Macaca mulatta: one gene and its partner. The protein of the gene in region 1 binds, or shares a complex with, the protein of each later gene. Links are inferred from orthologs where the notes say so. Each region holds a gene or a part of one and is shown on either strand. Other genes may lie near its edges. The genes, in order: MUSK and DOK7.

Region 1 (3,811 bases):
ATTCTCAGCTCAGAGACACTGGGAAATATTTAATTTTTACATGGTGGGGTTTTTTCTGTTACCTATAAAAGGTCACACATGATTGTATTCATCCCCCCTTTATACTGAGATATTACATCAACTTGTGAGGCCATTTTGTAAACCAGTTTGAAATATTCCTGGTCACTACTTATTATATAGTTTCTTAAAGCACAGTGTAGAAGCTGGATGGGGATTAATTCCTTTCCTTCCCATCCTAAGAGTCATGGCTGACACCTGTATAATAATGACAGGTTAACAAGAGAAGAGGATAAGAAATTTATTTGATCACAGTTTTATATAACTTGGGACCCTTGAGAATGAAGACCCTAGATACAGGGAAAGCAATCCTTTTTTTTTTTTTTTTTTTTTTTTTTTAAGACAAGGGTCTTCCTCTGTCACCCAGGCTGGAGTGCAGTGGTGCAGTCTGAGCTCACTGCAACCTCCGCCTCCCGGATTCAAGTGATTCTGCTGCCTCAGCCCCCTGAGTAGTTGGGATTACAAGTGCCTGCCACCATGCCCGGCTAATTTTTATACTTTTAGTAGAGACTGGGTTTCTCCATGTTGGCCAGGCTGGTCTCAAACTCCTGACCTCAAGTGATCTGCCCATCTCAGCCTCCCAAAATGCTGAGATTACAGGCGTGAGCCACCATACCCAGCCGAAGCAATCCATTTTTATGCTTAGGTTCGATGAAGTATGAACAACTGTGTAGAAATATGATTAGACACAATGTGATCTAATGCTAACAGGCTGAGTGGGGAAGCTAGCCCATCCTGCCTGTTCCGATTTTTCTCAGCCCCCCTGTGCAGCACTCGCACCTCTGGAATGAAGGTCTGAATTTCTTTATGGTCAGGTGTTATACAGAAAAGCGGGGGGGGGTGGGTAGAGTAAATATTTAGGTGTTATGGCTAGCCTTGAGGAAAAGGCATTCTGATGTCTATGATCTGTCTTGGAAAAGAGGGATTCTAGTGTCTAAGATTTGCCTCGGGGAAGAAAGAGAGGAGAGACAGGAGGGCGGAAGATCTGTTTCTGAGGCTGCTTCTTAGGCCTTCACTTTGGGGTGTCATTTATTGAGCCTGAACAACAGCATCCTTGTTTCTGTCTAATTTTCTCTGGGGGTTTTCTCACCTTTACCTTGAGAAAGTTTTCATGGAGTTTTGTGCTTTCTTATTCAAGGCCTTCATTTTAAATATCCCCAACAAACAAAGGGATACAGTAAAAATCATGCTGCCTAATTAGTAAAAGGCTAGTATGAATTAAAGGAAGACTCTATATTACAAAATATTGTTTTAAAGCATAGCTGTGTTTCTTGGAAGTTCATTGTTTCACCTGAATGTAGTAGATCTCATTCTAATGAATTTGCTTTAAAGACCTGCCAGTGATGGTTTGTAATTATAGTATTAATTTTTTAAATTCAACTGGGGTCATGTAACAATTTTAAAATTTGACACAAATTCTAATTTGTTTAATTTTCTTACTTTAAATTCTTCATATAAAGACAATGAAAAGCTAAATTCAATAGCTGTACAAATCTAAATAAGAATACAACTTAAGACTTTTCTGTCATTACTAACACTATGGAAGATCTGATAGAAGACATAAGAAAATACTGAGACCATCACAGTGCCTACACATAATAAGTATTCCACATATGTTTGTCAGGTGAGTATATGAGTTGTTATAATTCCCAGCATTACATTAAGGGAACAAGTAGATACGTGAAGAGAGTACCAGCAGCATTTTCCATTCTCCCAATTGTCTTCAGTTATTATAGCAGATAAGTTTTTAATCCTATGTTTGTGCTAGCACTAGCATTTACAGGTTTCTCCCTGATATATGGCCCATTAACACACAATAATCTGAGTTCAGAGTAATTACTTGTATCACTCAACAGAATAGATCATTGAGGCACTGGGTGACCAGTTGACTTTCCATGTGATGAGATGTGATGAGAAAACAGCAAAGCTGAAGGTTCTACTTGGCTCCTCTGGAAGCCATATTTCTGCTTTCTCCTCCCTACATCACTTTCTTTTTCTTTAATGGAATTCTGGGAAGAAGTGTGAGCGAGAGAATCTGAGTATGGAAGGTGTTGCAAAGATGTATATGTTGTAAAAAACTAAGGTAAACTATCATAACACATAAATAAACTATGTCCCTAAAGCTGCAAATATTTTAGCTGAGAGCAGTTATTATTACGCTCAATTATTTGTTAACCATCATGATGAAATGTCTTCCAGATGCATCTTTGCTTATATCAGCTTCTTTGCAAGCAGTCTGTAAGGTGGCTTAACTAAGAGTAGTCAGATTCTATTTATAATGTAGAATAATAAAAATACCCAAATCTATTCAGTCCTTTATAGTTCCCAAAGCTTTCCACATCCATCATCACATTTGGCCTTCTCAATAGCCCTGTGGAGTAGCTACAGATGATATAATTGCAGCTGGAAATGAAGACCATATTCAAATGGAACATGTCAACCAATTTGCTAGTACAATTTTCTCCTATTTCTGTGACACAGATGTGAAAACAAACAAACAAAAAAAAAAAAAAAAAGAAAGAAAGAAAAGCAGAATGAATGCCAAGAAATAGCATGTGATTAGAAATGTTGTTCATTTCTTCTTTCAGTAAACCACAGAAAGATAACAAAGGCTACTGCGCCCAGTATAGAGGGGAGGTGTGTAATGCAGTCCTGGCAAAAGACGCTCTTGTTTTTCTCAACACCTCCTATGCGGACCCTGAGGAGGCCCAAGAGCTGCTGGTCCACACGGCCTGGAATGAACTGAAAGTAGTGAGCCCACTCTGCAGGCCAGCTGCTGAGGCTTTGTTGTGTAACCACGTCTTCCAGGAGTGCAGTCCTGGAGTAGTGCCGACTCCTATTCCCATTTGCAGGTAAAATCTCAAAAATAATTCAAAGGAAAAATTCCATTTTTCTATCTGCACAACAGAAAGAGTTTTTGAAAAATGTTGTAATGTGCAACAGTAAAAGGAAAAAAGCGGTTTTCATCCAAAATAGGAGGTAGTGGCTGGGCACAGTGCCTCATGCCTGTAATCCCAGCACTTTGGGAGGCAAAGGTGGGTGGATCACTTGAGGTCAGGAGTTCAATACCAGCCTGGCCAACATGGTGAAACCCCGTTTGTACTAAAAATACAAAAATTACCCAGGTGTGGTGGCACACTTGTAATCCCAGCTAGTCGGGAGGCTGAGGCAAGAGAATCACTTGAACCGGCGAGGCGGAGGTTGCAGTGAGCCGAGATTGCACCACTGCACTCCAGCCTGAGTGTTGAGACTCCATCTCAAACAAAGAAACAAATAGGAGGTAATTAATCAGACAAAATGTCTATCATGTAAATCACTGAAGATAACCTAAAATACAAGTACTTAGAACCTCTAGAAAATGTCATAAATGGTGTCATATTCCATTACTCTTGTTATTGCTCACATTATTATGGTATCCATAAATATCCCAGATTTCTATCAAATGAAAGGAGAAATCTTAAACTAACATGGACCTCATTAGTAAGCCAAGATAGAGAAAATAAAAACTGTACATTTTGTCAATAAATGAGATCATGCCAAGCATTTCAGAATGTTATTTTAAAGTACATTCCATCCAAAATTCTAAGTTCTAATGCTGTTGCCTCGTTTGGGTGGGGTAGGAGGGAATTATACTGTAAATAGATATTTTTTAAAATTCTCATACTTTTTAAATATTGAAATTGATAAACTTATGTTCAATAGAATTATCTTCACCTTTAAATACTCCTTATGTAGGAAAAAAAAAAAGAATCAA
Region 2 (3,811 bases), on another chromosome or scaffold:
CCCGCTCTCTCCTGCTCCCCGCTCTCTCCTGCTCCCCGCTCTCTCCTGCTCCCCGCTCTCTCCTGCTCCCCGCTCTCTCCTGCTCCCCGCTCTCTCCTGCTCCCCTCAGGCGGTTCCCAGGGAACAGAGGCCGTGCCAGGGAAGCAGCACTGGGTAGAGGATGCTGGGGAGGGTCGGCCTGGGACAGCCGCTAGAAAGGATAGGCCCCACCGCGGCAGCAAGCGGGCCAGCCCCAGGCAGGGTCATTGCTGACAGCTGGAGGGAGTTGGGCTGACCAGAAGTCCCAGACCCCACTCCACAGGATGTCCTTGTCAGAGTCAGCTGGGAGCTCTCAGAAAGCTCTGCTGTCAGGGCCTCGGCCTGCAGCTGTGCCTCCCAGCTGTGCCTCTGCAGGTGTGTGGGGGCCTCAGACCACCTGGAGGTGCTGGTGGAGCTGGGACACTATGCTGGGCAGCACCCCGCCGGAGGAGCCGTGGGCCCAGCCCCTGCAGGCTGGAGTCATGGGAAGGTCTGGGCTGGTGGGGTCGTCTGCCCAGGCTGGCAAAACACTGGCGCCCTGTGATCACAGGGCTCCCACGACAAAGCCCTGCGGGCAGCATCCTCATGCTCTGGGCTTTTTTTTTTTTTTTTTTTTTTTTTTGTTTGAGACGGAGTCTCGCTTTGTCACCCAGGCTGGAGTGCAGTGGCGGGATCTCAGCTCACTGCAAGCTCCGCCTCCTGGGTTTACGCCATTCTCCTGCCTCAGCCTCCCGAGTAGCTGGGACTACAGGCGCCCACCACCTCGCCCGGCTAGTTTTTTGTATTTTTAGTAGAGACGGGGTTTCACCATATTAGCCAGGATGGTCTCGATCTCCTGACCTCATGATCCGCCCGTCTCGGCCTCCCAAAGTGCTGGGATTACAGGCTTGAGCCACCGCGCCCGGCCTGCTCTGGGCTTTTTGCCATCCTCCTGTGCTGAGTCTGCTGTGACCCACCGGAGGGGCCGAGAGATGCAGGAGGTCCAGCCCCTTGGTCTTCTGCACGTGGACACCAAGGCCCAGAGGCAGCCAGACCAGCCAGCAGCAGGAGGGAAGGGCTCAGAGGCCCGGTGTCCGCCACGCTCCGAGCACGGCGTGCATGTTACCTTCTTGGCCCGGCCTCCACGGGGGTGCACCGTTGCTGCACCCTTTTGCAGACGAGGTTGAGAGGCTCAGGGGGTGCATGGTGGAGCTGGGAGTCGATCTGTGTCTTGCCCACCAGCTACTGGATGGGAAACGGTGGGAGGTTGTGTCCTGTGTCCTGACCCTGGTGTCACCGAGGGCCGCTCTTCATCCCAACTGCAGGGCACTGGCTTTGTGGGGGGCCCTGGTCGGAACGCCCGAGGGCTGAGGGACAGCGGTGCTGTCCTGTCACTGTGCTTGTCTTCAGCCTGGACCCTCAGCACACCAAGGAGCCAAGACTGGCGCCTGCTGTCCTGCCCACGTGGCAGAATGTGTCGGTGAAAGCGCCAGGAGCTGCCAAGCCGAGTGGCCTGTGGGCTCCATGGCCACCAGCAGCCTGTGTTGGGAGGGACTGGGGCCTGAGCTGGCACAGCCTTGGCTGCCATTGCCTTCCACCCTCCCAGGCACAGGTAGGGAGGGGACAGGAGAGAGGCTTGTACTGGCCCCATCCCTGTCCCTGGCAATGCTACAGATGGGGCCACAGGGTCATGGGCTGGCAGGGCCCCAGGCTGACCCGGGCAGTGCCTTGGGGCGGCCATACCCGGAGGCTGGGGGAGGCTCCTCCAGGTCCTTCTTGCGTTCCTGGGCCGGGTGCTGTGAGCTCTCGCCTGCCCGTGGGGAGAGCCCTGTTCTGAGGTCCTGATGGGGCCTCCTGTTGTGCTCAAGGGCCCCAGCTGGGCGCCTGAAGGTGTCAGCAGAGGACAGTGTCTTATCAGGGATGGGGCCTCTTCAGCCTAGATGTGAACCCGGACAGGGACACCATTGCTTTCTGTTTGTTTCTCCGGAACCCTGACTACGGGGTCAGGATGTCCGGCTGCAACCTCCGCCAGGCTCGGTTCTGTCCACCGAGGCTCTGATCCAGGTGTCCCAGGCTGGGGACTGTACCTTCCAGTCCTCTGCGTGCTGCAGAATTTGGTGTAAACTTTCCATGCTGCCACTGCTCCTGGATTTTGGGGAGAGCAGGTCCTTGGACCTGTTTCGGCTCAGTCCTGCAGGTGCCCCCAAGGTGGGTGGCAGGAGGTGTGTCCTGGAGGCCCAGAGGAGGCCACCTGGAGCAGGACGGGGTCGGTTTGCTCTTGTGCTTGTAGCTGTGGCTTCCCTGCCAGGGAAACTCTTTGGGACGGCTGTGGCCGTGGGTGCCATGGATGTGGAAGGGGCGGGGTCTTGAGCCCTGCTGTTTGGAGCACGGCAGCCACTCAGCCTAGTGCCCACATCACTTAGTGCCTGGGACATCCCAGCACGGGCGGGGGGCTTGGGGACCAGGGCGGTGATGCTGAGGCTCGGGACAGCGGTGCCGAGGGGCCAGTGAGAAGGGAGGTTTCCTGCCACTCAGTCCCAGAGGACCCAGAGGACACAGGGACGATGACCAGAGAGGGTGGGGCTGCTGCTCCCTGGATGCAGCCCTGAGGGAGGGGCTGGGTGGGGCCGAGGGTCCGCAGACCACTGTGCTCTGAGCCTCTGGCACAGTATGAGGCTCCATCCAAGGCCCCAGGGAATGGGACCGCCACAAGGTGGGCGGGCATTTCCCCAGGCAGAGAGGAGCCTGTGAGAAATGGGCACTGTGAATCAGGGGCAGGCAGCCCCTCTTGCAGTGAGACTGGCCCTGGGGATGGGGGAGGGGCTGGCCATTTTTGGAACAAAAAATTGAAAACCTCCGTGGCGAGGAAGAGGGGTCTGGCCTGGGGTCCTGGTGAGTGGACAGGTGGCAGGGCCATCCATGGGTGCAGGGACCCAGCAGGGCGGATGGTGGCCTGGATAGGGGTGGTGTGGGTGCAGCATTTGAGGCCCAGCATCTGGGCTGAGGCATGGGGAGAAGCGGGGACTCCCAGGGGATTGCCACTCCACGGAGGGGGCCACCACCGCGTCAGGCTGGGCCTGGTGCCTGCGGGCAAGGGTGGGCGGTGGGGGCCACTTCCTCCACTGAATCTTCTCTCTGCTGCAGACCCAAGCCCCCCGGGACCCTCGACTGTGGAGGAGCGCGTGGCCCAGGAAGCCTTGGAAACCCTGCAGCTGGAGAAGCGGCTGAGCCTCCTCTCGCATGCAGGCCGGCCGGGCAGTGGAGGTGGGGCCAGGGGCTGGCCTGGGCTGTGGGACTTCAGCTAAGTCTCCAGTGGGAGAGCTCAGGAGGCTTCCATGCATGTGTGGGGGCTGCTGGCTCCCTCTGCTCATTCATGCATTCCTTCTCTCTCCTGCTCATTCATTCCTTCCTTCCCCCCAACCCACTTATTCATCCTTCCTTCCCCCACATTCATCCTTCCTTCCCCCACATTCATCCTTCCTTCCCCCACATTCATCCTTCCTTCCCCCACATTCATCCTTCCTTCCCCCACATTCATCCTTCCTTCCCCTACATTCATCCTTCCTTCCCCCACATTCATCCTTCCTTCCCCCACATTCATCCTTCCTTCCCCCACATTCATCCTTCCTTCCCCCACATTCATCCTTCCTTCCCCCACATTCATCCTTCCTTCCCCCACATTCATCCTTCCTTCCCCCACATTCATCCTTCCTTCCCCCACATTCATCCTTCCTTCCCCCACATTCATCCTTCCTTCCCCCCATTCATCCTTCCTTCCCCCCATTCATTCCTTCCTTCCCCCATTCATTCCTTC

The links.
Region 2: the proteins of MUSK (region 1) and DOK7 are in contact, whole or in part, in a crystal structure (PDB 3ML4), measured with the Mus musculus proteins. The link is inferred for Macaca mulatta from reciprocal best matches to the Homo sapiens genes MUSK and DOK7. Residues at the interface, in NP_035074.2 of Mus musculus: Leu547, His548, Pro549, Asn550, Pro551, Met552, Tyr553, Gln554, Arg555; in NP_001335203.1 of Mus musculus: Leu154, Ser155, Asp156, Leu157, Arg158, Arg159, Tyr160, Gly161, Gly172, Thr173, Arg174, Ser193, Asp197, Val200, Arg201.

Annotation. Positions count from the first base shown.
Region 1 is NC_133420.1:47,621,250-47,625,060, reverse strand, and holds part of MUSK (muscle, skeletal receptor tyrosine-protein kinase), read left to right. Parts: intron 1-2,645; coding exon 2,646-2,909; intron 2,910-3,811.
Region 2 is NC_133410.1:3,680,024-3,683,834, forward strand, and holds part of DOK7 (protein Dok-7), read left to right. Parts: intron 1-3,141; coding exon 3,142-3,261; intron 3,262-3,811. UniProt on the Homo sapiens protein: Probable muscle-intrinsic activator of MUSK that plays an essential role in neuromuscular synaptogenesis. Acts in aneural activation of MUSK and subsequent acetylcholine receptor (AchR) clustering in myotubes. Induces autophosphorylation of MUSK.